Coturnix japonica: one gene and its partner. Each later gene encodes a partner of the first gene's protein in a complex. Links are inferred from orthologs where the notes say so. Each region holds a gene or a part of one and is shown on either strand. Other genes may lie near its edges.

Evidence for each region.
Region 2: the proteins of MLXIPL (region 1) and YWHAB are in contact, whole or in part, in a crystal structure (PDB 6YGJ), measured with the Homo sapiens proteins. The link is inferred for Coturnix japonica from reciprocal best matches to the Homo sapiens genes MLXIPL and YWHAB. Residues at the interface, in NP_116569.1 of Homo sapiens: Asp118, Ile120, Arg121, Asn124, Ala125, Trp127, Arg128, Ala129, Trp130, Tyr131, Ile132, Tyr134; in NP_003395.1 of Homo sapiens: Gly55, Arg58, Ser59, Trp61, Arg62, Ser65, Ser66, Gln69, Lys70, Arg129, Val178, Tyr181, Glu182, Asn185, Leu218, Gln221, Leu222, Asp225, Asn226, Leu229, Trp230.

What each region holds. Positions count from the first base shown.
Region 1 is NC_029534.1:126,494-140,314, reverse strand, and holds the end of MLXIPL (carbohydrate-responsive element-binding protein), read left to right. Parts: intron 1-210; coding exon 211-317; intron 318-468; coding exon 469-551; intron 552-796; coding exon 797-886; intron 887-1,441; coding exon 1,442-1,486; intron 1,487-1,721; coding exon 1,722-1,920; intron 1,921-2,239; coding exon 2,240-2,320; intron 2,321-6,146; coding exon 6,147-6,947; intron 6,948-7,159; coding exon 7,160-7,233; intron 7,234-7,582; coding exon 7,583-7,757; intron 7,758-8,345; coding exon 8,346-8,458; intron 8,459-8,581; coding exon 8,582-8,734; intron 8,735-8,946; coding exon 8,947-9,074; intron 9,075-9,226; coding exon 9,227-9,350; intron 9,351-10,083; coding exon 10,084-10,213; intron 10,214-10,288; coding exon 10,289-10,398; 3' UTR 10,399-10,588; downstream 10,589-13,821. Other genes in the region: TBL2 (transducin beta-like protein 2), read left to right, coding at 10,768-10,864, 10,999-11,141, 11,226-11,410, 11,740-11,891, 12,984-13,110, 13,239-13,391, 13,752-13,821. UniProt on the Homo sapiens protein: Binds DNA as a heterodimer with MLX/TCFL4 and activates transcription. Binds to the canonical E box sequence 5'-CACGTG-3'. Plays a role in transcriptional activation of glycolytic target genes. Involved in glucose-responsive gene regulation.
Region 2 is NC_029535.1:4,606,626-4,622,410, reverse strand, and holds the start of YWHAB (14-3-3 protein beta/alpha), read left to right. Parts: upstream 1-8,241; 5' UTR 8,242-8,377; intron 8,378-14,809; 5' UTR 14,810-14,816; coding exon 14,817-15,110; intron 15,111-15,785. UniProt on the Homo sapiens protein: Adapter protein implicated in the regulation of a large spectrum of both general and specialized signaling pathways. Binds to a large number of partners, usually by recognition of a phosphoserine or phosphothreonine motif.

The DNA of each region.
Region 1 (13,821 bases):
CATGGGAGCAGTCGGGGTCAGGAATCCCTGCAGCTGGGGACTCCCAGCTCAGAGCTGTATCTGTAGCTCTGGGCAATCAGTTCCTCTGCCTGCCATGCTGTGATCCTGGGGCTCTGGAGGCCCTGCAGGATCAGCAAAGCTCTCACACTGGGGCTGTGCTGGGGGTCCCAGCATGGTCCCCTTCAGCTCCTCCTCTGCTCGGTGTTGCAGTGGGAAGCTGGTGTCACCGAAGTGGAAGAATTTCAAGGGGCAGCGGCTGCTTTGCCGGGATAAAATCCGCCTTAACAATGCCATCTGGAGAGCGTGGTACATCCAGTGTGAGTATGGGGCACTGCCTGCTCCCAGCTGAGCACCCGGCTCCCTGCGATGGCACAGTGTGTGCCCAGCCCTGCAGGCACCGTCAGAGCAGTGCCCAGACACGTGCAGGGGGAGCTGCAGACAAAGCCAACTGTGTTTTCCCCTGGGCAGATGTGGAGCAGAGGAAGAACCCAGTGTGTGGCTTCATCACCCCCCTGGAGGGGTCGGAGGCTGACGAGCACCGCAAACCAGAGGTAGAGTGTGGGCTGTCATGGCAGCTGGATCTGGGTGTGGAGGGCACAGTGAGGAGCTGAGGGCAGCAGAGCTCCCATCATTGGCTGCTGTGTTCATGAAGTCTGAGCGATAAAGTGTTGGTGATGTGTCCTGAGGACAGCGGTCCCGGCCGTGGGGCACCTGGGGCAGGCGTGGGCTGCGGGTGTGGGGCTGTGGGTTGGCTCCGTGGTGCCGTACGGCCGTGACACCCGCATTGCCCCTCCAGGCCGTGGTGCTGGAGGGCAACTACTGGAAACGGCGCATCGAGGTGGTGATGAGGGAGTACCACAAGTGGAGAACCTACTACAAGAAGCGGGTGAGCGGCGCTGCCCTGCTGCCCCTGGTTGTGGGGTGGCACATCATGGTGCCCAAAGTGGAGCTGCCGGTTGTACCACAGCGATGGTGGCGGGGTTCGGTGACCCCGTTCCCGGCCCCAGCAGCCCGGATCCAGCCGGCTGTGCCCGGTGTGCGGCTCTGCCAGGGCTGTGCCCGGCGCTGCACCTGCCGTGCACGTGCTGCAGTGGGACGAGCGGGACTCGCTGCGGGCCCGAGCTGGGCTGGGATTCGCTGGCAGCCGCGGCTCAGCCCGGCAGCACGTGTCTCGAGGCCTGGTGGCCCAGCGTCACCCCGGTGTCACTCCCAGCCGCGATAATCTGGTGCTGGTTCAGGTGGCACCAGCCTTGGCTGCCTGCCCGCGGGGCGGAGCGCCGTGCCAGCCTCCTCCCTCCTCATCTTGAAAAGGGGTGCAGCCCTGCACCGCTGTGCCCGAGTGCTGGGGGCAGATGTGAAGCAGGGGCAGCCTGGGCCGGAGCCTGAGCTGCCCTGCACACAGCCCTGCCAGCCGCCAGTCCAGGCTTCCTTCTCCTTCCAGCTCCGAAAGTCCAGCCGGGAGGGAGAGCTCTGCAGCCCAAAGCAGGTGAGTGTGATGGGGAAGGGCAGGCAGGGACAGTGGGACGAGGCGCAGATCCCTGCCCTGGGCAGCTCGGGAGAAGGGCAGATGAAAGCCATGGTCGGTGATGGCCCCAATGGCTGTGGAAGGCACTTGGGGTGCTGCCTGACTCTGGGAGCACCAGTGAGCCGAGCTGGAAGCCTCAGACATGGGCACTGCCTGCAAGGAGTGCCCACCGGCTCCTTTGCACCATCTCGTGCAGGACGAGGATGCCTGGAGACCGACAGAGAAATGGTGCAACCAGCTCTTCTGCAACGTGGTGCCCATGCTGCTGGGGGACGAGGAGGAGGAGCCGGGGGGTAGGCAGCACTTTGACTTGGACACGTTCCTCTCGGATATCTCTGACACCCTGTTCACCATGACGCAGATACCCAGCGCCCACCAGGAGCTCCCCGAGGACGGTAGGTGACCCGCATGGGGCCGCACTCCTGCTGGAGGAGGAGGAGGATCAGGCAGACAGCTCAGTCCTGGCACACTGTTACTTCTTGGCTTTGCAGCCTTGCCCAGAAGTTTGAGGGCCCTGCACGAAGCCCCTGAGAAGCTGCTGGGCAGAATGGTGGGAATGGGATACCCCCAGAGGATGGTCCCTGCGCTGTGCTGTGGGGCAGGGTGCGACCCGCAGGGAGAGGCTGTGGGTGGCTGTTAGTGAGGTCAGCAGTGCCAGCCCTGAGGTGGGGAGCTGGGGATGCAGCACCCTAACATTGCAGCTCTGTCTTCCAGCATATATTGGGAATGCTGACATGATCCAGCCTGACCTGGCACCTCTGCAGCCCAGCCTGGATGATACCATGGAGATATCAGGTAAGAGCTGGTCTATATCTGTGCAGCTCTGCACACCCTGCAGTCGAACATGGAGCTGAGCTGGCCTGGAAGCAGCAGGAGCTGCGGGGGAGGCATAAAGCACATCTGTTGTCACGCAGGGGCAGCAGAGGGACAGGGAGGGGCTGGGAGCTGTGGAAAGGGGCTTCTGCCAGCAGAGAGTTGCATCAGGAGAGTGAAGCCACCTGGGCTTGGCTGCAGGCAGAGGACAGTTATCCCCACAGAAAGTGGACACCTCTATGGAGCAGGTTCTGTACCACTGTCCTATCACTGCTCTCTTGCTGCAGAGCAGCTGGTGGGTGCTGGGACCCCATGATGGGCTGTGCTGTGTCTTCTGAGGTCACAGTTGCTGCCAGGTTGGCCTTGAAAATCAGATGTGGTGCTGGTGGTGTCCAGGACAGGCAGAGGGCTGCTGAGGGGCAGCAGGGGACAAGCAAGCCATCCTGGCAGCACCTGCTCCTGCAGTCCTCCTACCATCAGGACCTGCCTGTGACACAGGACACTGAGCAGAGCGGTGTCCATGAGCTGTGCAGTCAGTCAGGATGTGTCCTTGTCACATGTGCCCTGTGCAGGGCACCCACGGGCTGTGCCAGGCCAGGCACCGCTGATGCACGAAACACCAGAGGCCTCAGATGTGCTGGAGCCGGTGGCACGGGCACTGTGCAGGGTGGGACCCCGCAAGCAGCCTCAGGAGCACCCGGCCTTGGGAGCCCTCAGAGCATGTCCGTGCCCTGCACAGAGCCTGCCCACGGCTCCTGCCCTGCCACTGCAGCCGCCTCCACCTCCCACTTCCCTCTGCTGGAGGAAGCACAGGCCCTTGCACCACGCAGCCACCGGCTGATGCAAGACCAGATGCTGGTGGGGAGCAGGGCAGCCATGGGGCAGCCTGGTGTGCCGAGCTGGGAAGCCCAGGGGTGCAGCCATCGCGACTTCTTGCCCCCACACGTCCCTGTGGGCTGAACCGTGGGCAAACCCCAAAGGGGTCAGAACGACACCTGAGAAGTGTCCTTCCCCTTGCAGGTCCTTTGCAGCTGGGAGGCTGTTCTGAGCCCTGAAGCAGCACCTGACGGTGACACAGAGCAGCCCCAGTATCTCTGTCTATGGGCAACGTTCCCTCTGGTGCTGCTGGCGTGAGCACAGTGCGGCACAGCCCGGCCTCCAGCAGGGAATGGCACATGGCACCGTGGTGCCCATCCAAAGCCACGTGCTTCTATGAGCATTTTCCCCGGGGTGCTGCCTGGGACGAAGCGCCGTCACTGTGCTGCACGATGTGCAGGTGCAGCTGTGGTTTGTGCAGGGCTGCTGCTGTGGCCACAGGGCTGTAGGGTGAGAGGATGGAGAGCCCCTTCTCAGGAAGAGGCTGCTGCCAGACGCTGGGCGCTGTGTGCCAGAGCTGCAGTGCACCCAGCCCTGAGGGAAGTCCCCACAGCCACTTCTGCCGCCGGTGTGTGCAGGGCTTTTGGATCCTGGGTCTGTGCCTTACAGACAAGGCCAGCAGGGCAGAGCAGGGGCTCAGGACTCCAGTGGGGTCACGGGGCCATCGCCGTGTCTGGGGACTGTCACTGAGCTTGGTGCCTGTCAGTCAGCAGGCACAGGCCAATCCCCAAATGAGGAACCACGTCGTGTCCTCAGTGGGTGCCAGAGCGCAGCGTGGGGGGGTGGAGAAGCCCCGATGGCAGAGACGAGGGAGCAGCCCAGCCCAGTACCTGCGTGCTGCTGGCACTGCACTCCAGGTAGGACCTGCACTGCTCACTGGGGCCCTGGGGCCAGGCTGACGGGGTGGCATCACCCCATGGTGCTGCCGTGCTTTCCCAGAGCCAAGGGCCAACAACGGAGTGTCCCAGCCATGGGAGCAGGCTCTGTAACAGGAGTCTCTTTGGAGAGCACCCAGTATTGGAGCAGAATGCTGAAGGCATGGGGTGCTGACCACATAGGCTCTCATCCCCCGGGTGGCACCGTGCCCGGGCTGCACTACACAGCTCGGCAGTGGGTCAGGGCAGTGTGAGCGGAGAGGAGCAGGGGTGAAAGCTGCAGGGTGGGGAAGGGAAAGGAGAGGTGGAGGACGGGGGGATTCCAGCTGTTGTGCCAGGCAGCATCTGCCACCCACTGCGGCAGCACAGCGAGCAACACAAGAGGAATCGAATCTGCAGAGCTGGGCATCAGAAACGCCTATAAATGCATGCATAGCTTTGGTGCCAGCAGCAGGAGATGGCACAGTGTGCACAGGAGATGGCACAGTGTGCACAGGAGATGGCATAGCGTGGGCACAGATGAGGGTTGGGTGCAGTGTGGAGCCAGGTGCTGCACTCCCTGTGAAGGCAGCAACCATTAGGGTTGCTAACCATGCATAGTTGTGCCCCTGTGCAAACCAAGCGCCAGCTCTGGAGGGCAGGTGTCATGGTTCTGTAATGTTGCTGTCAATAATGTGGCTCTGCAGCGCTCCTGAGCATTCGGTGTGTCCCAGCCCCAGTCTGGGTGGCACTGGGAGCAGGAAGAGTTCAGTTCTGAGGAGGATGAGCTGCTGCCCTGAAGGATGGTGGAGCTGGGAGGCTCTGAGCGCCTTGGAGGCCATTATGAGCATGGGAATGCTTGTGCAGATAGCGGCCAACTGCCTCTAGCTGTGGGCTGGAAGAAGCAGGGCGGCAGTGCTGCTGCCCATCCATGAGGGGTATATAGCTGAATGCCATCCCCAGCCAGGGCACATTGGCTGCAGCCACTGCATGCAGGGCTGGGAGAGAAAGGGCCATGTCAGGGCTGAGCAGAGCAGGTGCGATTAGGGTTGGTCATGGCATTTCCCTCTGCACGTGCATTTGTTCCTCAGGTGTAGATTCAAAAAGTTACCAGTCCCAGAGGCTTTGCTTGTTCCAGCCAGGGCATCCCAGGCAAGGCAGCCTGTGCCAGAGCCTGCAGGAGCCCTATAGCATGGCCAGCACCCGGGGCACACAGAATGGGCAGGAGCAGCTCAGAAGGGCTCAGGGCAGCTGAGCACACACAGTGGAGGTGTGAGTGCTCATGAGCTGGAGAAGCTGCTTGGATACAGACCCCGTGTCAGGCAGCTGCTTGCAAACCCACCCAGCACTCCCACTCAGTGTGGAGGTGATGCCCCAGGCAGCAGGCAGCACTCTGTGCCATGGTGTCTGGGCCTGCGGAAGCACTGAGGCTGTGGGAAGGAGACAGGAAGGGAGAGGGAGTCGTGGCTGGGTCACGGGGCTCGGCTTCGGGAAGGCCATGGGATGTGGTTAGCCACAGGCAGCACGCACAGCAGGACTGGGGCTGGGAGGCCAACACTTGCCCCAACCCCAGTGGGACTGTCCCCTGTGACTCCAGGACAGTCCTCAGGGCTGCCCCACATCTGCCAGCTCTGCCACTGCCCCACAGCATAAGGGCTCAGCTACTGCACAGCTCAGGGCTGGCTGTGGGGATGCAGGGAGAGACCAGATCCCTGAGAGCAGCCAGAGCATGCGGCCTCAGCTGGGTGTTGGGGATGGGGTCTCCACCCTTGGGTGGTGTTCCTGGGCGGGTTTTCCTGTCCCATTGTGCATGGCCAGGCTGGGCTGTGCACGAGCTGCCTCTTCCCTCCAGCCATGTGAAGCTCTGGTGTTTCACAACCAGGGCACCAAATCTGCTCATACAGCCAGGAGCTGTTCCAGCCCTGCCAATTGAACGTGATGCCAGCAAGTCCCTGCCAGTGCCAGGCACGGCATGCAGCTCCCTCCAGCACGCCCCAACCTTGCATCCCCCTTTCCAGGGGCTGAAGCACTCCCCAGGCCCCCATTGCCCATCACCATCTCTTTGCTTCACCCCACAGATATTTTCGTTGGCCATCGGCCGCTGCCTGCGCAGATGCCGCTGGGCTATCAGGAGCCACCCTGCTTTGAGCCCCTCTATGGCAATGGAGGGACCGTGCCCGCCGGCCCCGATGCCCCACTCCCACCCAGCCCTCTCCTCCAGGTGAGCGGGACCCTGGCCCATGACCCACGGCTGCCGGTGCCCGAGCCACCCCTCCTGACACAGCCGTGTGCCCCACAGCCCGGTGATGCCACCCAGCTCAGCCTCCACGGTGCTTTCTTTGGCCCTGAGCAGCCCCCACTGGCCCCCGAGCCCCTCACCGCTGTGCCTGGCTGCCTCAGCCCCCAGCTCAAACCCAAGCCCTTGCTGCAGTATGGTTTCCCCAGCAAGTGCCTCGGCACGGAGCCGCTCAGTCTCCCTTACACCGCCCCCAGCCAGGCCCCTGGCACACCGTTGCTGGGCTCACAGCCGCCATTTTCCCCCGCCTCTGTGCCCCACTCCAAGTTCCCCTTCCCCCCCTCGCCCAGCCCCTCGCTCCTCACCCACCCTGCATCCCCGCTGCCCGTGCCGTGCTTTGCCCAGCACACCCCGGGCCTGGGCTACGCCATGGACGTGGTGCCCGTAGGGTACCCCAGCCCAGCTGCGCCCCAGCACCTGCACCCCGCCGTGCCACCTGCGCCCAGGTTTGCTACCCCAAAAGGGCCATCCCTGGGTGAGCGGCCGAAGGTGAAGGCCACCAAGGCAAAGAGGCCGCCAGACCCTCCTGTGCCTCCACACCTGACAGTGCCCAACGTCTGCCTGACCCAGCTGCTGGCCACAGGTGAGGGGTGACAGGGGAACTGAGGGTGGCGGTGTTGGGGTGCAGGGCTGCTGGGAGAGGTGGGCTGCTCCCTGAGCCGTCACTGCCTTCCCTGGGGCAGATGGACATGTGGGCTGGAGCTCGGGGCTGGCACTGCCATGGGGCAGGAAAATGTCACCCAAGCACCAGCTGCCCGACGCAGAAGGGCCCTTCTGCTCTCTGATTTCTTGCAGCCAAGCAGGAGCCAGCCCTCGATGCTCCACACATGCATGGCCCCGCGCTCATGCCCGCGTCCCCGGCCTCTCCGGTAAGCACCCACCTATCTCCAGGTTGGGGACTGTTCCCTTTGGCTGGGAATTACTTTCCTGTTGCTGGGGAACAAGGAGAGAAAGCAGCTCTGTGTGAAGCCCTTTGCAAAATGGAGTTAGATGTACATGGGGCTGGAGGTCAGGGTACTGCAGGAGCTCAGAGTGAGGCCGGGTGGGAGTCAGCCCCAATTAGAGAAATGGCAGAGCTGGGAGAGACCTCAGGGCCCTGTGGGGCTCCCTCCCTGGTCCCACTGCGGGTTTTGAGTAACCAAAGGGGCTGTGTAAACCTGGCGTGCATGGGGCGCTGCCCCAACCTCCCTCCTGCTTCCCTCTGCCTTCCCTCTGCAGCAGAGCAATGTCCCCGATGTTCCTGACGTCTTCCTGCCCAGAGTGGCCCAGCTGAGCTCGGTGCTGTCTCCTGGCTCCAGCCCTTCCCAGGAGGTGCCTGTGCTGCAGGCAGGTGCAGCCCCAGGGTCGCTGCGTGTCCCCAAGGTTGAGCGGCTCTCCCCAACATTGGTCTGTGGTGAGTCTGGGTGCCCGCAGGATGCCCCGGTTCCTGCAGGGAGTTTGAACCAAACACGGGGTTTAGTGTTTGGTGTTTCTTTTCTGAGAAAGTTCAATTTATTTTTTATTCCTACTGCTTTTAATTACCCACCTGAATGAGAGCAATTGCTTTCTGCTGGGGAGGGCACAGAACATTCGTCTGGCTCCTTCTCTGGGGGCAAAACCATAAACAGGAAAATACAAAACGTAGCAAAGTGTCAGAATGTGGTTTTGAAAACCAGAGCCGGGTTTGGAGGCAGGAAGCGCCCTGCGTTCACCCACAGAAACCAGACCGGAGCAGGAAGCTCATTTCCACTTCCAGCTGAGTGCTGCAAACCGCAGCCCTGCTGCACTCAGGACTCTCCTGGTGGTTTCCACCCCGCTGGGAATTTAAAACTTCATGTCCCAAATGCTCCCATGTCTTGTAAAAATGAGAGTGATTTGGGATTAGTTGGGGCAACAAGACGTGGTCAGACACGGGGCCGTCAGCTGAGGGTCTTGCTGCCCCAGAGCCAGGGCAGCGCTGCAGTGCTCACGCTCTCTCCAGTGCACCCTTCTACTCCCCCAGGCAGTGACTGGCCCAAGCCCAGCCAGGTGTCCCCAGGAGCTGCTCCACCACCCAGTGCCACCGTCTCCCTGCACCATCCCTCATCCCGTCGGGGCAGGCCTGACTCCAGCAAGGTACGGTGGGAACAAGTGCTGCCTCTTACAGGGGCAGCTTCTCCACGTGCACCCCCACCCGCTGCCCCCCACACTCACCCCCACGCTCGATGAATGCTTGGGGCCAGCCTGTCTCCAATGCAGGGAGAGGCCCAAGGCCATCTCTGCTGCCTGCAGATGGAGAACCGGCGCATCACACACATCTCTGCTGAGCAGAAGAGACGTTTCAACATCAAGCTGGGCTTTGACACACTACACAGCCTGGTGAGCACGCTGAGTGCCCAGCCCAGCATTAAGGTGAGCACACAGTGCTGCATGGGCTGGCGCCAGGCGTGCAGGGACACAGAACATTGCCTAGTGATGACACGGTCCTGGGCTGTGCCAGCATGCACGTTGTGGTGCCTAAGGGCTGCAGCCTGATGCCAGGGCTCAGCAATGGGGCACACAGCCCCTTGTGCCCTACTCATCCCAGAGGCTCCCTGCACCATCCCACTTCTGCCACCCTGCAGGTCAGCAAGGCCACCACCTTGCAGAAGACTGCTGAGTACATCTGCAAACTGCAGCAGGAGCGGGCAGCTCTCCAGGACGAGGCGCAGCGGCTGCGGGAGCAGATTGAGGAGCTCAACAGCTCGATCAAGTAGGGGGGCACGGAGCACAAGGTGTTGCCTGCTTGAAACATGCAGAGCCACCAAGCCCTGCGGCACACCGGGCTCCTCTTCTCACGTGGGGCAGCTGCCGTGTGCCCCAGGCTCCCACCCGTGGCCCCACAGAACTGTTTGTGCCTCACAGCCTGTGCCAGGAGCAGCTGCCAGCCACCGGGGTGCCCATCACGCGCCAGCGCTTCGACCAGATGCGCGGCATGTTTGACGACTACGTGCGCTCCTCCACGCTGCACAACTGGAAGTTCTGGATCGTATCCTTTGGGTCAGCACTGGATGCTCAGTGCCCCTTCCACCACACACCAGGTCCGCCCTCCCCTCCCAGCTGTGTGGGATCCCTGCTGCTCAAGACGTTCTGTGGGTGACACGTGAAGGGGACACGCTCAGATGCTTAGAAGAAACTTCTGTTACTAGAGAGCAGCAGGGTAGGAATAAACGGTCAGTCCTTGGGGAGCAGATTGAAGTGCCCAGACTGAGCTGGGCATTGCTACACGGGCAATTGCTCCCAATAACTTTGGAACTGGCGCTGAGATGCAGCAGCCATCGGTTAGAGGTTGGGAAAGGATCAGATGCAAACCCAGGAACATGATGGTTTCAGCTGGGTGTTTGTGTGCTGTGCTGTGCTGTGCGCTGTGAGCTATGAGCTGTGTGCTGTGCTGTGCTGTGTGCTGTGCTGTGTGCTATGGGCTGTGTGCTGTGCTGTGCTGTGAGCTATGAGCTCTGTGCTGTGCTGTGCTGTGAGCTATGAGCTCTGTGCTGTGCTATGGGCTGTGTGCTGTGCTGTGCTGTGAGCTATGAGCTCTGTGCTGTGCTGTGCGCTGTGAGCTGTGTGCTGTGTGCTGTGCTGTGCTGTGCTGTGTGCTGTGCTCTGTGCTGTGCTGTGCTGTGCTGTGTGCGCCCATCACAGCGCAGTGCAGGCAGGATCGCTGTTGGCCGCACACAGGGCACCGCGGCCACCGCCACGTTCGTCCTTAACCGCTCCAACAGTTCAGCGTCATCATCCGGCCCCTGTTCGAGTCCTTTAACAGCACGGTGTCCACCAGCAGCATGGACAGCCTCACGCAGACGTCCCTGGCCTGGCTGGAGCAGCACTGCTCCCTCCCCGCGCTCCGGCCGTGTACGTGGCGCCGCTCGGTCGGGGGGTGGGAGCAGCCGGCCCGGTCCGGTCCGTGACGTGCCCCGTGTCCCGCAGCGATCCTGGGCTCCCTGCGGCTCCTCAGCGTCTCCACGTCCATCCTCAGCGACCCCGCGCGTGTCCCCGAGCAGGCGGCGCGCGCTGCGGCCGGGAGCGGAAACACGTGACAACCGGGACGGGACGGCGGGAGGGAAGGAGGAAAGGGACACCGCAACAACAAGACGGCGCTCACGGGACCGGGCCGCGTCCGCACCATAAAGCAACACCATTAAACCGACACCATTAAAGCTGCGCCATAAACCGGCCCCGTTAAAGCTGCGCCATACGCCGGCCCCATTAAAGCCCTCATAAACCCGGCCCGGTACCGGCCGCGCCATTAACGCCCCCATAGAAACACGCCGCCGCAACTTCCGGCCACGCGCGGTCACGTGGGAGGGGGCGGGGCCAAACGAGAGGCGCGCCAGGAAGGGGCGGGGCGGGGCCGTGTGTCGGCGCATGCGCAGCGCGTGCCCCGCCCGGCCGTGAGCTGTCGGGCCATGGAGGCGGCGCTGGGGCTGGGGCTGCTCCTGCTCGTGGCCGCGCTGCTCGTGGCGGCTGCGCTGCGCCGGGCTGCACCGGGGAGAACGGCCACCGGTACGGCACGGGGTGACGGGAGAGTGGGTACAAGTGTGGGTTCGGCTGTGGGTACCGGTGTGGGTACGGCTGTGGGTACCGCTCCGTTTCCGCCCTGCCCGCGGTCGCTCCCCGCTGAGTCCCGCTCCCCGCAGGCCCCGCACTGACCGGCCCGGTGCTGACCGGCCCCGCCGCCTCCAGCCCCGACAGTCCCCGCAGGGCGAAGCCGCGGCCGCGCAGGGAGAAGCCGCAGCGTGAGCCCGGCTTCACGCACCGCCTGCTGGCCGCCGCGCTCAAGGTACCGGCCGCCCCCACGTCCCGCTGGAGCCCCCCGTCCCGTCCCATCCCGTCCCGTCCCGGCCCTGACGGCCGCTCCCCGCAGGGTCACGTTGGCGCTGTGAGCTGCCTGCACTTCAGCAGCAATGGGAAGCACTTGGCGTCCTGCGCCGACGATCGCACCGTGCGGCTCTGGAGCACACGCGACTTCACGGCGCGCGAGCACCGCAGCGTGCGGGGAAACGTGGAGCTGGACCACGCCGAGCTCGTCCGCTTCAGCCCCGACGGCAGGTGGGGCCGGAACCCCGTGTGGCACCGGCGGCGCGATGCGGGACGTCCCGCCTTAACGCGGGGCTCGGGGCGGTGTCACAACACCCGCGTTGCCGGCCGGTATAAGGGGGGTGCGGGAGCTGCGGGGGAGGCAGCTCGGTGCTGCTGAATTGCTTTGAGGGCAGAGGAAGGGACGGAGCTACCGCAGGGCAGGTACCGAGCCCTCATAAAACAACTGATGTGTCACCTCTCCCCCAGGTGCCCCACGGTGACCGGTAACTCACACACCGGAGCTGGGCCGACCACGGCAACCTGCTGCTTAACGGCTCGGTTCCCGTCCTTCCACTTAGGGCGCTCCTCGTCTGGCTGGCAAACGGAGAGACAATTCGTGTCTATAAAGTGACGAAGAAGGACGACGACAGCTTCACCTTCACACCATCCTCCGAGGATTTCCCAAAGAAGCACAAAGCTCCCGTCATTAACATGGGAGTCGCAGAGACAGGTGAGCTGCTCCCCTGCTGTGCCCCCACACCCACCTGGATTTCCTTTCTGAGCAACAGCCGCTGGGTTGAACATGTTGATAGTCCTTGACTTGATCAAGGCCTGCTCGATTCTGTGTTATTCTAGTTGTTGTGTCTTAGCCTTTGTTTACTATTGAGTAAGCTGGAAAACAATTTGAGGAGAGAAATCTCTAAGGAAGCTTAGAATTGCCTGATTTGCAGTGTCTTATTTTAGGCTCTCAGGGACACTGTTGTAAAGAGTCGTGGTCTCAGTATTGAGCATCACTGTTGTCTGGCTTGTTGCTCTTGCTTCAGCCAGTGAGAAATGGCTGCAGTCAGTTGACAGGTTCAGGAGCGTAGGCTGGCCCTTGGTATCTCCTAGAACAGCCTGAGAAGGGTGAATGTTGATGGCTGAGGCTTGGTGGATTCGTGCTTCAGCTGCGTGGCAGCGCACAGTTGGCAGCGGGTGGATGCACGTTCCACTCTGTAAGAGAAAAGTCCATGAATTTTTAACTGAGGTCTTTGTTTGGCTGCAGGAGTGAAAATTGAAACCCTGTAACAAGTAGCTTGAAGATAAATTTGAACTCAGTGTCCGTGCTGAGATGAAAAGTGAAAGCACAGCAAGTGGAAACAAGCAAATATCCAAAATGCGACGCCACCAGTAATCCAGGACAAACGTAGTGTGACTTCTAATCATCTACCAGTCTGTAATCCCTGACTTTGAAAGCTAGATACCTCTCCTGGTTAAAGCACAACCTGATAAAGTCTGCTGCATTGACTGAGCGTAGCACTGAGCTCTGCAAGTAGGATCTGAAAGGTGCCGGGTGGAAGCTCAGGGGGGCTCTGGGTTGGCAGCTGTGAGCTGCTGAGTCCTGACTGAACACTGGTACATACCCGGCCATGGGCCTGTTGGCACGGCTTTGTGCTCTGTGCCAGGAGAAAAGTGCTGCTGCTTTGGTGCTGCTTTTGGTTTCCTGACAGTTCTGATGCAGAGACAAGTTTCTCTGTTTAGGAACCATTACAGCTGTTGGTGACTATGGCAGCTTTAGGCCTAGGAATTCTCCTCATCTCTGCCTTTTTCTTCCTCCCCCCAGGGAAGTTTATCATGACAGCTTCCAGTGACACTACCATCCTGATCTGGAGCCCCAAGGGTGAAGTCCTTGCCAGCATTAACACTAACCAGATGAACAATGCCTATGCTACTGTATCACCCTGCGGGAGGTGAGGAACCTGCAGGTGTTTCAGGCTGCTGCTGCTGAGTGGGAAGCTCAGTGGTGCAGTGGCTGTGGAGCTGACCCTATAACCCAGCCACAGTGATACTTTGTAATAGACTATTTTATTTTGTTCAGGTTTGTGGCATCGTGTGGCTTTACTCCCGATGTGAAGGTTTGGGAAGTATGTTTTGGCAAGAAAGGTGACTTCCGGGAAGTGACCAGGGCTTTTGAGCTGAAAGGCCACACTGCTGGCGTGTATTCCTTCGCCTTCTCTAATGACTCGAGGCGGTAAGTGTGTTCTAACACTGCCTGAGGATACCCTGAGGATGTGTGTGCTCACACCTCCCAGTGTGCCTGAATTGCCCATCCATACTCAAACCTGTGCCCATCCCGGCCCCGGGTGCTCCCTGGGTGCCCAAGCACTGCTGTGGTCCGTCCTTATCCTCCTTGTGGGTTTCCTCCTGTTGGGTGACCATCCTCCTTGCTCTGGGAGGATGACGGCCCTATGTGTACACACGTATGCAGGCTCATGTTTTCCAAAACCAGTATCTGTCCACAAAGTAAAGGATTCCTGCTTTGTAGATGCGAAGAGGGAACAAGTAGGACCCACCTTCCTGGCAGTCACGTGTGGTTTATGTTTGCCTGTAGGATGGCTACCGTTTCCAAGGACGGGACGTGGAAGTTCTGGGACACGGATGTGGAGTACAAGAAGCAGCAG
Region 2 (15,785 bases), on another chromosome or scaffold:
TGGTATTTCCCAGCACAGATAACCAAACCTTGTGCTGCTCCCACTGCTTTAATTGATTTATTTATTTGCACGAAGAACCAGCGGCGTCTCCTGCAGGATGGCTGCAGTGGTACAGCCGCTGCCTGAGGAGCAGATGCTTCGCTAGGAAATCATTTCCATTTGCAAGATCGCACATCAAGAAAGCAAACCTGCACCGTTCAGAAGGGTCTGAAGGAGGGAGAAGGCAGAGAAGGACCAGAGGGAGCTCAGAGCTATGGGGGGGAGGAGATGGCACTGGGCAGGTGGCCCTGTCCACGTCAGGATGTCACAGGGCACAGCCCTTGCACGGCTGCCCAGAGCTGTCACCCCGCAGTCCCCCAGGCCAAGTTTGGCAGTATGACAAGCTGCTGTCAGTCATTCAGAAGCCTTTCAGCAAACAGAGGCGGTGACAGTTCGCAATGCAGAGCTTTTCTCCTCCATCCTGAGCTGCGCTGGATCCCAGGATGTGTAAAATCTGCTGGAACATGTCAGTAAATCCCCACACTACAGGAGGTCACCTTCCCTAATCTACGATGTCCAGTTGCATAACTGAGATCCTGAGCAAATAGCTTACATTTAATCTGTGCTTCCTTCCCTCTCAAGCGTGGCGAATCAATTCCTGGGTAAGCAAAGCTTCGACGCGGGGCTGGAACACACAGTGGTCACAGCAACCTCCAAAAGAGCTGAAAAACCAAGAGAAATGGACAAGGGAAGGTTTTCCTGCCCGCACATGCGCTCTGCATGTCCATCCATTGGGCAGGAGATGCTGTGCTTAGCATGCAGGGCAGGGAAATGGCACCACAGCCTTCAGTGATGTGTCCTAGGGGAAACAGGAGTGGAGGGAGAACAAGAGCAATGGGGCTGCACATCCTCCTCCCTGCAGGGCTGCAATGGGGCAGCCATGGGGCTGGGGCTGCTCCCACCCATAAAGCATCTTCTGCAAAGGAATTTAAAGCGTTAGTCCCAAATCTCCTAATTTACCCTGACTTTTTCTCTTTAATAGTATTCATGGTGGAAGCCATCTGGACTGGGTAATTTATTAGCTTAGAATAATTCAACTGCTTTGCTAATCTCATCCCATTTCCCAGGGTTCCCTCCAGGTGCTCGGTGGTACAGCAGGATGGGAGTGCTGTGCTGAGGCTGCCCTGCACCCACAGTCCTGCCAGGGCCAGCATCAGCCCCACTCCACCCACAAGGTGAGGGGGAAACAACTAAAATGGAGCTGTATGTGAAGATATATATTTGTAGATCTGCATCTGTATACACCCATATGCACTCAGCACTCCAGCAAAGGCTGAATGGTTAGGACCATGTTCATGTTCCTTAGCACTGCCAGCTCTCTTGGTGGGAAGCAGGAGGGTGTCCCATGCAATGGGTTTTCCACGCTGTGTGTCCCTGCCACTCTGTAAATGCCACCATGGCTGTGGCAATGATGCAGGGGCGCAACCTTCCCCATCCCCTGGCAGGACAGAGCTTGGCAGTCCCGGTTGGATTGGCCACACCCCAGCAGGGCTTCTGCTGTAACAGGGACTGAGCATCGAAGCTGCTCTCCAGCAGCCACCCGCTGCCCTGAACACTGGCCTTGTTGCAAAGTCATAATTGAGCCCTTATTAGCCTAAATGATTAAACTGCCCTCTGTTGAGAGAAATCAATTTGCCAGCAAATTTCCTTCTGCTCAGCTCGCAGCACCAAGCACTCTCAAGCTGTGCTCTGCTCCTATGAATATGTGGGGATGGCTCCAATTGACATTGTCTTTGGCCATGGGGACCCCCAGCCCGAGGGAGGGTGGGGGGGAACACTGCATTGCCCCTGCTGCCATCACCGCCCCCTCCTCTCCTTTCCTCTGCAGGAGAAACAGCAGGAACCACAGCAATGAGATCATCTGCTCCAAAATTACTCACACTGAATTAATCACCCAGCAGCACCGGGGGAGCAGCCTGGGGACCTTGGGGATGAGCAGGGAACTTGGGGAGTCCAGCACAGGGGCTCGCTTTGCCTCATCTGTGCCTGAGCTGGGGCTCCCACCAGGCTTCAGGATGGCTCTCCCTGATGGGTGGGCACAGGGAGGTGTCCCAGCACTGAGTCCCTTCAGCGCTGGCATCGCAGCACTGAGCTGCTGTGCTCTGGAATGAAGCTGGCTGCAGCCTCACCAGCAGCAGGTCTGGCCGCTGCCTTCACACCAAGCCAGCTCTGCACACAGCTGTGATTAAGTTATGGCTCGTACAGGAGTAGGGCTGCCAGAAGACATCAAATTACTTCCCTCTGCCATCATCAATCAGATGTGCTCATCCTTACTTCTGCAAGAAGCAACCTGCCCTGGTCCAGCTGACCATGTCCCTGCCCACTGCCCTGCACTGCTGCCCAGAGCTGTGGGTGACCCATCTCTGAGGGTGCTTGAGGCCATGGATGGGCCCTGGGCAGCCTGAGCTGGGTGCCAGCTAAGAGCAATGGGAAGCTGGGTGGGCTCTAAGGCCTCTTCCAACCCAGCCATCCTGGCTGTAATCCCCCGGGGCTTCTTGTTGCTTCTAGGGATGCTGGGAAAATTAGATATTTTTGCCTCTTTTCGGTGCCTTCCAGAAAATCCATGCTTTAATGAAATGTTTGTATTTCAGCTTTAAGTAATCAGCAGCTCAGATAGGATACAAATTCTTTCTTTTTTTTTCTGCTTCTATTTTGCCCATTTCAGAGAATCTGCAATATTTTTCTGGATTTACGTCCATCATAAAGCCAGGATCCTGTCCCAAAGCAGCCATACTGAGGTACGGCTGAAAATATAAAGACTTAATAAAAACTTATGCAGTAATTTGGCTCTTAATCCCAAACACAATCTCTCCCTGCAAATAACGGCAGCCTCTGCAAGATTAAATTCTCCCTGCATATTGTTTGTAGGCCTGATACCTTCTATCAAGCTTAGAAGGGTTTTAGGTTCTTAAGTCATGGCTCTGTAATTGCACATCTGATTCAGCTTGTGATGCACAGAGCTCCCGAGGAAGCTTTTGTAAAGATTTCTCCATGTCTGACAATGGTGTGTGACACTGAGATGCATTTTGTACATCATGCAGTGCAGGGAAAGTGCAAGGCCAGTGATTTCTTAAAGCAAAATGCCTGCTGCCCTGTAGCTTGCTGCAGAAACGCCTTGCAAACTGTGCTGGTTGTCCATGTCGTGCTCACTCAGCAAAACGTCCTGGCCAGGTTATATTTAACCTCAGCTTGAGCATCACTGTCGTAACCTCCCATGCAATCTGCCTGGGCAGTGTCATAATTAATACTGCCCTTGCTCAGGCTATGAGAGGAACATGCGATGGCTCAGCTAGCTATAAACCACAGCAGAGATTCCATCTGGTCCAGCGTCTATTTATACCTCCCCAGCCCCAATTAACTTTGAAAGTTGGGGCTGGTGGTTAAGTAGAAAAATGGTTCTTGAAAAGCAAGATGGGGTGTGCAGCAAGAGGAGAGATCCTGGGGGCACAAAGAAGCTCCAGGCTGAGGCTGGTGCCTGGGTTCCAGCACATGCACCACAGGGAGCTGCTGTGGCCGTGTTAACTGATTGCTGCAGGGAGTGCAGAGCTCATCCTTGAGTAGGAAGGAGTTAATTTTGCCACGAGGCTCAAGCTGACACTGCAGCACCTGGAGCAGAGTCCTGGGACTCAGTGCTTTCTGCTTTGTGGCGTGCATGAAGCAACGTTTCCAGTGTTTCCAGCCTCACCAGCTGAACTGGAACCACACCAACAGTGGGAAAACTGTGCTCCAAGAGCAGGGTCAGGCTGGGCCTGCTAGTTCTCCTTTGTTCCCAAGGGGCTCTCTATGCCTGGTGCCTGCAGGCTGTGCCGGCTCACACATCCCTGCCTGGGACTGCACAGAGAGTAGTCAGCCCCAGAGCTGAGCTCAGGGTGGGCACAGTGAGTGTTTGCAGCAGCACAGAGCCTGAGAAAGGGCCTGTCTGGGCCACCGCCATCGCTGTGCTGTGCCCAACCAGCACTGCCTGCTCTCTGTGCCCAGGAATGTCTTATTGCCGTGCTTATGGAAGAAGGACAGCATGAGCAATGCACAGCTAGCAGCAGGTCTGGCCAATGATGATGATGGTGGGGATGGTGGCATCGCAGCTTCTGATCTTTTCCTTGTTTAGATACACAGGCATAGAATACCACAGAGAAATGAGCACCAAAGGAACACGCTGGGAGGGATCATAACTGCCCTTTGAAGAGAGGAGTACAGGCTCAGAACTGTCAGAGATGACAACAATGGCATCTGACTGAGTCCATTTCCCAAGGGGGCAGGATGTGGTGCTGTGGCTGTAGTGTGGCTGTATTCTGGTTTGACACAGCTAATATGGATATGGAAGTCCTTGCCTAGATCCACCTGTAAAGGCTCCTTGCTGATCTCTCACCACCATCACTGCAGTCTTTAAGACTACAGGACCCAGAGCAGTGTGTCGATGTGCTCAGGAGCTCCTCTCATTTCCCACCTCTATCAGTCTGCTCAAACATCTCTCTCTGCTGGGCTGCTTTGCAGCAGCTGCTGGGCAGCAGGTCTGGGAGCAGCGCTGGGACGCAGCGGCTGCTGTCACCCACAGTCCCAGGGCTCTTTGATTTGCTGTGCTTCCCATAAAGAGTCTGGCAGGAAATTGTTTTAAAACAAAATGACACATCCTGTCTCATTCTCTGGGGTTACAGTCACAGATCCTTTGATACATTTATGTTTGTGAACTGTTTGTTTGCATGCTTTGTTATCCCTCCACATCTCAGACTCATCCATCTTTGAGAGCAAACCCCTGCTATCTTCATTCCACCATTTCTTTGTCCCAGTCACTTCTTTATTAAGAGCATTTTGTCTTCCGAGGCAGCTGGCATTAAAATGGATAATTAGATTATGTTCTGGCACTCCAAAGGTAAATGCATTAACACTTTCCCATATACTCTGCTGGCCTCTGGCTGCTCTGTGAGCATTCAATAAATGAATCCAGCCTGAAATAAAGATGTTTTGCAGAACCAGGCAGATCTTTAGTATGAACAGGGAAGTCTCAGCTGGGATTTTCAAGGCAGCCTCACGCTGTTATGGGCTTTGTGCCTAACAGCACATTGAACCCTGGCTGTCCTGCGTCTCTCTGTTTGACTTTCTGTCCATACAAACCTGAGGAAGACAGCCCATTTTCTGTGATTCTTGGGAGCAGGATCCTGCTGAGGGAACTCGGGTGGCCCACAAGCAGCACTGGAATTTCCAGCAACACATGGAATTTGGTCACTGACATTTCCTGCAGATCGGTGTGCTGAAATGCCCTTTGTTTGCCCTTGGGAGTGGAGGCACCTTCATGATATCGGAGCAGCTCTTTCCTATGGGAATAGCAGGTGGCAGGAAGAAAACCAGACTTTTATTTTCAGAGAAAAAGACATAAAAAAATCCAAGGAAAGCAGAGTGAGGAGTGAGGCTGGGATGGTTTGCAGCTTAAACCTGCAGAACTGTTCTACCTTTGCAATGAAGGAGGTGAGAGGAGGCATTGCCCCACGTCCTCTGCCCCCATTGGTTTAATCAGCGCACCTCAAATGCAGGAGCCTGCTGGAAGAACTGGCATATAAACATGAATTAGAAGGAAATCTTATCCGGGTTGCTGGGGAAAGCTCTAGGAAGCCCATCCTAGAGCTGCATACTGAACTGCTTGGGAGGAAAGCAATTACGAGCACTGAGCGCATGAAATAAGCCTCAGCACCAGTGTCGGACAAACCTGCCCTTCCAGCTTTCCATGCTGTTACTGATTAATTCTTTTATCAGCCCTGTGCCATCCTCAGAGTTATCCCCCAGCTCTGACCATCAGTGGCCACTTCCTTGGAAGCCCCCATGGACTGTTAAGCTGCTGACGGCCCACTGGATGGTGTCTATTAAGAGAGACACCTTGAACGACAAGCCAGAGGTTGGAAACGTGCTGCTTCAGAGCTCTCAGTGTGAGTTCTCTGAGAAAAACAAAGATTTCAGGGTCATTTACATGGGGAGGAGGAGGAACAGCCACCTTCTCTTTTGTGGTTGATTCGCTGCATGCCCCAACCTGAGATCTTGGGTAGAAATGTGAAGAGGGAAATTGCGGTCCTATTTAAGAGTAGATAAAGCTCTGCTCTTTGCTGTGAACTCTTTTATTTGACAGTCAGGTTCTGCACAGGATGAAGGCTGAATATTCCATGTTCTATTCATGAAGAACTTCTGAGCTCTGGGCAGCTTCTGTACTTCTTCAGTCTTTGGGTTTTTAGGCCTTCAACATGACAACAGCCAAAGCCCAGATGCTGGCGTTCCTTTCCATCCCTCTTCTACCCTTGGAAACTGGATTTCCTAAAGCTGGCATCTTGGAAGGGCTTGCTTTTTGGTCCTTGAATTCTTTTAGGTGTTACCTGACATTAGAAATGCACAGCAACTCCACAGGTCTCAACAGCTACAAAATTTACAGCAGTGCATTCAGTTCTATTTATGCTGCTTTTCTGCACTGCCACTACTTGCAGCCTGCAATAAATTACCTGGGTTTAATTCATGACAAAGAGTTCATTGCACCTCCCCAGCAATAGCATTCTCTGCTTGGGACGCTACAGCCAACACTGCATTCCTGGAGCTGAATTTCTGCCCTGTCCAAGTCGTTTATTCTGCCCTTATTTCCCATCACACCATTTTCTACTATTCAGGTCATTTACATTTTCTTGCTCACGCAGTTCCCTGCCATATGTTGCTCTGTTGCTTTGCAGTTTTGCTCTTTCCTTTGTTGTGTAAAGTAATCTTCAGACCATCAAAATCAAATAGGTGTTTGACTACATATATTTATGATGTTGGCCCATGCTGTCAGAAGTGGACGTTGGTGGTATGGCATTTTGCTGCCATATGACAGATGGCAGCAGAGGGGCAATCGGAGCGAATGGAAGATGCGTATGAAGTGCGTATGAAGCAAAGACGTGTCACTGAGTTCCTCCATGTGGAAAAAATGCCCCCCTGTTGGTATGTAGTGACACTTGCTGAACGTTTATGGACAGCAAACATTGGCTGTGAGCACAGTGAGGCGGTGGGTGGTGTGTTTCAGTAGTGCTGACAGCAGGTCTTCTTTGCTGGTGCAGTTTGTTACAAGTACGGCATGCATGCCAAAAGGTTGGACACCCATGTCATAGCAGGTGCCTTAAACCAGCATCCTAATTCCATTCAGCATCATCCCCTGCCACCTCAGTTAGCTTCAAGGATTCTTTCTGAGGTGTGATACAAAACACAGTGGTGTTTAAAAATATCACAGTGTTCAGAGTAGCAGTACCTCCATTTTTCTGTACTTTGCCATGATCTGCACAGTCCAGATGATGTTTGAGCTTGATGACAGAACTGCTGACAGTATATACAGACATTTCCCTATTAGAAAATACCTGAACATCACAGGGGGAATTTAAAATGAGTTTTCAAGTCAGACTATTGCAAGAAATGGGAATACTGTTGCTTTAATAGTTCCCCAGCCAGTTCTTTCTTGCTTTTAGGGTCATAAAAGGCTGCTGCAGACCTGACTGTGATCCTTCTTCCAGTAGCTTTTCACTGTCGCAGAATCCCTTCCTACAACGGCAGGGGCTGGAATTACCAAGATTGAATGTAATTATGTGCTGTTGTTTTCTATCCCCCTTGCATTAAAAGACACACAAATTGTGATCAGTGACCTGTGTGACTCAGCTCTGGAACAACTGGAAGGCCCAGCCTGTGGATGCAGAACACAGAGGGGAAAGAAAAAAAGAGTAAGAGAACCAAAAAATACAAGTCCTTTAGTAGATTACGATGATATTTTGAATGCTTTATTTCAGTACCACAGTGTAGCTCCATCCCTTTCTCTTTGGGTGACACTTTGGGCAGCATCTCGCACACAGCGATGGTGCACTGCCATCAGCTGTTTGCTCCTGGGATCTACCTCAGCTCAGAGAGAAATAAAACAAACGAACAAAAAAAAAAATAAATCACAAAAGCTGAGCGGCCCAAGACTTTATTCCTTAAATAAAACTCTCAGTCCATGCAACAACCACCGCAGGGCCTGGCCCGGGCCGTCCCTCTGGTTGCAGCAGTTGATACGGATCTCTGGGATCCGTCGCTTTATTCACCCCGCTCCATCCCGCCCCGCCGCCATTTTCCGTCTCCTCAGGGCGGAGCCCATAGCAACCGCCAGCCGGATGGCGCCCGCCGGGCAGCGTCCAATCAGGAGGCGGCGCTGCCCCCCTCCCTCCCCCCGGCGCCGGAAGGGGCGTGTCCTGGAGGCCGGAAGCGGGGCCGCAGCTCCGCAGGGTGTGTGTGTGCGTGCGCCCAGCGGCCGCCGCGCTCCGTTCGCTTCTTCCGTCGGGATCCAGCCGCGCTCCGCGCCGCCCCCCGCCAGGTGAGGGTCTGCGGCCGCCCGCCCCTCGCTCGAGGCCGGGCCGCGACGCCGCGGTCCCGCTGGAGCCCGGGGAGCGGGCAGGGGAGGCCTGCAGCTCCCGACCCGCCGCCTGGGGGGAGGTGGAGGCCGCGGCGGGAGGGCCCCGCGCCGTGCGGAACCGGCCGCGCCGCTTCGTCCCCACCCGATCGCCGAGTAACGGTGCGACCCTCCCGCGGGGGCGGACGCTGCGGGGCGGCTTCTGGCCCGGCCACACCCGCCTGAGTCACCGCGCTCCGCGGGGCGAGGCCGCGCACACCTGGACCGAGCCGCGGGCCCGCGCCCTCTGTCGCCGCCCGTGAAGGGCTCGGCCCGGGCGGGGGGAGGAGGCGATCCGCCCCCAGGGCAGGGCCCGGCACGGCTGGCGGCCCCCTCCATCTCCTCCTCCTCCTCCTCCTCCTCCTCCTCCCGAGGGCTCCTCCCTTCACGACCCTCTCCATGCTCCGGGCCTTCTCGCGGCGCTCACAAAGCCCGGAGCTCTTACGAGGCGCCTGCTGTAGGGCCCATCCGTGTGAGCCCGCTCAGGTTTAGGAGAGGTGATGAGATGAAACGTCTGCGGTGCTTCAGAAGATGTTACACCGATGGTGTTATTTTTAATCTTAAATTATTCTTATCTGGGGATAGAGATGAGTTTAGGGAGGACTGCAAAGCTGACTTCACGCTATCCCCAATATATAAGAAGGTTGGGTTAGTCACCTAGAACTAACAACTTTAGGCCTTTATGAGGTATGTATAATTAGATATTAATTGGAATGATAACAAGTGGGATGCAGTCGCTATGTTAGCACGTAGGGCAAAAATGTATCTCATGCTGCCATTGCAGTATCATTCAGTTACTTAGTTAAATTCCTTGCCAACCGTTAAAATAACTTTATGGGGTAGGAAGAAAAACTGTTTATCACTCAGGGTTGTAGAAGCAGAAGAATACAAAAGAATTTTAAGGTTGTGTAGCATTCCTGGTTATGGGAATACTTGTGTCTTCACACATGCGCTGCTGCAGGACCTCAGGCAGAAGTTGTAGTACTTGTATTTAAAGAGTAGCTTGCATTGTTTGAAGGCAATATGGAGATGCAAATCGGTCTAGAAAAGGAAAGAAAAGAACGTGAGTGTTTTCTTCACTCTTGATATTAAAAACCTGCAAAAATATAGTTTATGTAATAGTTGGTTTATTAAATTGGTACCAGTGGAGTGGTAGACTCAGTGCACAGATGGGCCCGGTGCAGTTTTCTCAACCTCATTATGTCAGTACTGCATGTTCTGATCTCTGCTATTTTGATAGAGTCCTTTTTTTTTGTAAGCAGCCCTTTGCTGGTATGCAGCTTTTTGTGCTGTATGTGAATAAACTCCAATAAGGAGGAGTTAAGTCAATAGTTATTTGAATAACGGGATGAGAAGCTTGTACTGCAGCCTGTCTGGTGTCCTCATAAATCCCAGCAGGACTAGGCCTTATTTTAATGGCTTTTATATGACCACACTTTTTGCTCTACGCTGTAATATAAATGTTTTCAGATTGTTATTAACAAGTGATTTACCTGTGATACAGATACATTCGTTTGTCATTAATTTTATGCCTGGGGGGAGATTTTTTGTGGGATAACTCGACTATTTGCACTTGGACTCGGGCTAAAGGCGCATTCACTGGAACAAGGTGTTACCACGTAAGTATGTTGTACTTTGGAACCACGTGCTTGTCTCCACCCGCAGCTGTCCTGCGTGAAGTGCCATAGGTATGGAGCAGTGCAATGCTTCTCAGCCTCCAGTTCCTCATCAGAAGTCAATAGGGACAGTAAGGCTGCGGTCACTAAACTCAACTTGTCCATACAGTGTCAGTTTCCATCCCTGCTCTTGTTACTTCTGATAGAAGATCCCATGGTTATTTGCAGAGATTGAAAGCCTTTGTACCATTTTTCCAAATGATAGGGAAAATCAGTTTGAGGAAAGAGCAATTAATGGTGGCAGAAAGCTGCCCAGCAAATTGAGGCATGACTTTATAGAATGTTAATGTGATCTTAACGTTTGCGGAATGATTAGCACCGAAGGCCGGGATGTATTTCTAATCAGCAGGTACAGAGGAGGTTGGTGTTGTGTGCTGCACAAGGTCAGTGAGAATATCACAGCTGTGAAACCCATTTTTCTTTTCCCTTCCTTAAACATGCAGTATATTGTACTGAACTTTTGTCATAGCCAAGCTCAGGGTGGCTGCAGAAGACTTCAGTGTTGTGATTGTATCAGACGTCCATTTTCTGATCAGTTTTTCAACAATAGATGGTTGCCTTGGAGGGAACTGAAATAGAGAGACACAACGAAGTGAAATGGCTGAGGTAAAGCAAAGAAGGTTCATCGCACTCCATTTATGGAAGGGCAATTCCTTTCATGCAGAAAATACTGACCGAGCGATGCCCGCTTGATGGTGGCTGCCATCAGTATCACACAGGTTCTGCCAGCATTGTAGCTCTGCTGTCAGCGTGTGTGCACCTGAATGATGGCTTTGCCATTTGTTTCAGGAATAAAAGCTGTTAGTCTCAATAATTACAGAAATAGAATGGAACGTACCTCACAGACATGTTTAATTTTGTAATTCATTGCCTATCCACAAACCTGTAAGGTACATCCATGTGTTGGTAGTTGAACCATAAATGTTGTACCACACTAATGCTTTTCCTGTTACCATTTGAACGGATCTACACAGTTTGTGACCGAGAAATGATTGTGTCCCATTTCACTGAATCTGATTTCATACTCATTTCTCCCAGTGAAACATCAGTCTGTTAAATTGCATCTCTGTGTGACTCGTTAGTGATGGCTTTGTCAAACCAGTAGTTTTATAATGAGGTGGAAGTGTTTGTCTGACAGACTCTGGTAGTTACTGTGAGGAGAAAAACAATACACAGAAATCGATGACTTAATTAGCATCAGAAGAACAGGCAGACTTCAGGCCAGCATCAGCTTATTAGTATTGTCTTGTCAGTTCAATATGTTACATAAGCCAGATTTTTTTTCAGCGTCATTTCTCATCTAGTTCCTACAGACCTTAAGCTCACTTACTTCTGATCTGTTTTGGCTTTGTCCTAAAGAGTTGGTTCAGCCTGGAAGCAGTGAAGGCCGCAGAGCAGGTGCTGTAAGTGCTGAGCAGCAAGATGCTCAGTCCTCCTCAAGCACTTGCAGTCTTCTGAGGAACGTTACCTTACATGGTTTGCTCTTCAGCTGTTATTGACAGTAAACCTCCACTGCTGTGCATCACTCTTCTCTTGAGTGCTCTGGGTGTCCTGAGTTCAGGTGCTGTGTCCAGGATGGGCACACCTTCTCCTCCTTGCACTGAAAGTAACTGAGCATTTATAAACATCCTGAGCTCTACCTGAGGTGTTCGTCATTGTATCAGCTCTCACCTACACAGACGTAAAACTTTTTGTGGGGAGGGAAGTAAGCAGTTGTAATCTCCTGTCTATACACACAATCCTGCACTTGTAACGGGTTGGAAGTTTAGGCTGTATGAGGGAGAGATAGTTTTTGTCTCTTTGAGTGCGGGGAATCAGGGTGCTTTGAATTGCTGGCTGCTTGTACTGATGGCTGCAGCTGCTGGCTAATAGCGGCATTCCTTCCTGGAAGTGGTGCCCAACCGCTTCTTTCCGGAGGGCTGCTAAGTTGTCGTTTGACAGATTCTTAAGAAGTCAATCTTAAGAATTTTCAATGTATTAACAAATCTGAGTATCTTCCGCTTAGAACAGGCAACTTCTGCAACTCCTCCATGGCTGTGATCTGCACGTCTTCCCTCCTTTGTCCATCTTCCCTCTTTCCCTTTTGCCAACATGGCATGGCTTCAGTAGTACCAGAGCAGATGATTCCTGTTGGCCTTCTGTTTGTCACCTCTATGTGTCTGGCTCCCAGCTGCAGGTAACCTTTGTTAGCTGGCTTCTGTTTGTGGCCTAGGACTATTGTTAGCTCTAGGCTTTGCTTGTTTCAGACTGTGGCACACTGATCCATTGTTAGTGTGGCTTCCATCTCCTTTATGGGAGGGACTAGTTATAAGTGATACTTGCCTCTTTGCCTTTTCAAACATCACTCCTTTCCTTGTATCTTTTTTTCCTTCTGGCAAACACCTCCCTCTTTTGGAGCTCAAGCCAGCATAGCTCTGCAAAGCTCTTCTCCAGGCTTCTAGCAAGGTAAGCAACAGAACAAAGTGGTGATCTTTACACAGCACCCTGTGGCTGAAGTGACGGTAGGCTGAATGGCAGGTTGCAGACATCTTGGTGTGGGCAATGTTTTCCTTGCTGCATTTAAGTTCTGTTAACTCCATTTTATGGAACAGTACTTTGCAGTTTCATAGCAAACACGCTGAGAGTACAGATATTGAGATAAATCAACAGTTCAAACCCCTGTATAATGAATTCTTAATTTAAGCCTGTGAAGATCTGAGGAGCTCCATCTTCAGTAATGACTTTGAGTTGCACTTAAGATGTGCATGAATGTGTGCTACTAAAGGAAGTTATTTGAGAAGCAGCATTGTAATGCTCTGTGCTAATGCTTTTGCTGTATAGCTGGTGTGTTAAAGTGGTTTCTGGAGCTCTTTTATCCACTAGCACTTGGTCCTTGCAGTTCCCTCTTGATTCCCTCAGCACATCCTTACATGAACCCACTGGCTGCCACAGACTGACTTGCATCCAAAGGTAAATATGTCAGTTAGCTCGATAAAACAAACTCCTCAGCATTTCAAAACTGATCTACATTTTGTTTGTAAACAGAATTGTGGACCAATGACTTGTGTGCACGTCAGACCACTATTGGCAAAACGCAGATCAAAGATCAGACTGACCTTTCAGTGGTGAAATGTAAACTACTGGCATTGCTTGCCTTGGGCTTCAGCATGCAGGCTTGGGCTAATGTATGATTGTGTTCCCTGAAAGGAAGAGAAGATGGTGGCAGGACTTCTAGAAGCTGTGCAGACTGAGGAAGTTCAGAGTGTTTTGTTTAGGTGTCCTGTTACTTAAATTTGGCTCTTGGGACATAAAAGACATTCTTCAGGTGTGCTGTGTTCATGGATGAAGAAATGGCTTTACTTCCCATATGAAGCACATCATCTAAACACGGTGCTGAGTTAAGGAAGTGGTTTGGGAAGTTGCAGCAGTTATAATAGATCCTTTCAATAGTGAACAGTCTGGTGATTTCCTTAGTCTTACTATGTATGTGTACATGTACACCGGTGTTTTGTCAATCCTTTACATAGAGCTACAGTCTCTTGCCTAATTAATAGAAGCCTGTGAAAGCCAATTAGGAATATATTTTTCTCATTTATTTTTTCCTGTTTCTTTCGAGTTGTTTGTAGGCTGTTTAGGTCTCACACTGAATATTTCTGATCTAGACATTGAGAGCACTGATTGACATGAAGCAGCAAGAAAGGAATCTTACTGCTCAGTGCTAATGAAAATGACCATTCTGGGGCTGTCAGGAAGTGCAGATTTTAAGTGTATGGTGAAATGTTACTGATAAATCTGAACACCTGGGAGTCTGTGAGGCATTGAGGTCCTCAGCATTGAGACTCATTTTGTTTTCCTGCAAACTTGGGCCCAGCTGATGGAATACAACATTAGCTTAGTGTCCAAGTTAAATAAATGTTGCTGCTGTCTTGTAGGAACATGCAGTGCTCAGTCTGATACTGACAAGTTCTTAAGTAACTTCATTTTTCTTTGCTGAATTGGTTTTGCAGCAGTGACTGTTACACAGGCCACATCCCATTCATTACTGTGAATGTCTGTGTTACTTAAAGACCTTAGGAGCCCAAATCCGCAGCCACTCTAGGTGTGTGGAATTGCCCATTTTAGACATGCATCTATCTATATATAAAGAATAAATTTCTAGTAGAGCAGTATAAATGTATTTTCTGTGCTTGCTGTCAGCTGTATCTATAGTGGGTGTGGTACATTCCCATAGAAACATCTCTAGCAGTGAGCAGGAGATGCTTGCTGTCAGGAGGGGTTGTCCAGCTGCCCTGTGCTCTGAAACAATTGCTGTTGAAGACTAATACACAACCAACACAAATGAAGGCTCTGCTGATTCTTGCTGCAGAGCATGATGAGGTGTATCCCAGGCTGAGCTGTGGCTGCTATGGGAAAGAGGAGAGACTTACTCAGGGAACATGCTGACGTGCCTTCATGCTCATTTAGATTTTGCAGAAGTATGAGGAATAATGGTTATGTGCTTTCAGGGTTGTGATTATACATACTTTCTGTATGTACATTGTTATTTGTCAATTTTTTACACTAAAAGCCATTTGTATCTATTGGAGTGGGTAAGCTTGCCACCTTTTAGTAACTGTGAGTTGTTCTTCACCCATCAGCATTAACTTTTGCTGTATAGACAACCTAAAAGTATTTTCCTGTTTTTATTCCCTGCTAATTACAGGATAGCCATGGATAAGAGTGAGTTGGTACAGAAAGCCAAACTGGCTGAGCAGGCCGAGCGTTACGATGACATGGCTGCTGCTATGAAGGCTGTCACTGAGCAAGGACATGAACTGTCCAATGAAGAGAGGAATCTCCTCTCCGTTGCCTACAAGAATGTTGTGGGGGCCCGCCGCTCATCTTGGCGTGTGATTTCCAGCATTGAACAGAAAACAGAGAGGAATGAGAAAAAACAGCAGATGGGAAGAGAATATCGTGAGAAAATTGAGACTGAGCTAAGAGACATCTGCAATGATGTTCTGGTAATAATCCAACAGCAAAAATAACAGTAGCTTGTACTGCAGTATTCTTCAGAGAGCCTTAAGGAATCTTATTTGTGTTGTAGATACTGCATCACCATAGCAGGGAAGCAGTTCTGCTTAACCACGGGTTTAAGTCCACTTCTAGCTCCTAAATAATATAGTTTGTTTCACAAGGAATTTTTTGTATTCTTACATGTTTTAAAAATAGCATTTTGTTTAAATAGAAATGAGCAAGGCAGTGTTAAAGGCCACCTAACTGCTGGCCTGTGCTCAGTGTGAAAGTGAGTTTAGCAATAGCAGAAATCCTGATTAAAAAGCTTGCTGTTTGCTTAAATTGTTTTGTTAATGAATGCTGACTTTCTGAGGATTGTTCAGTACCTTTTAGGGGATGGAGAAGGTTTGCACTTCCCCAAAATTAGTTCTGTTGCTTCTTTCTCTTAAATGAGAGGGATCCTTTATTCTGTTGTTTGTTTTGCTACAGATCTACCCTCAGGAACAAATGATGCCAGTACTTTCAGTCTTCTCACCACTTTCTGAGTGCGCTTGTGCTGTCTGTGCTGCTGTTCAGGTTTTCAGCTGGAGCTGCAGATAGAATCAGTTTGTTACAGATTCTCTGATGTGCACAGAGTTAAAACCTGTGGTGGGAAAAGTGACTGCATCTGTGCTAATAGCAGG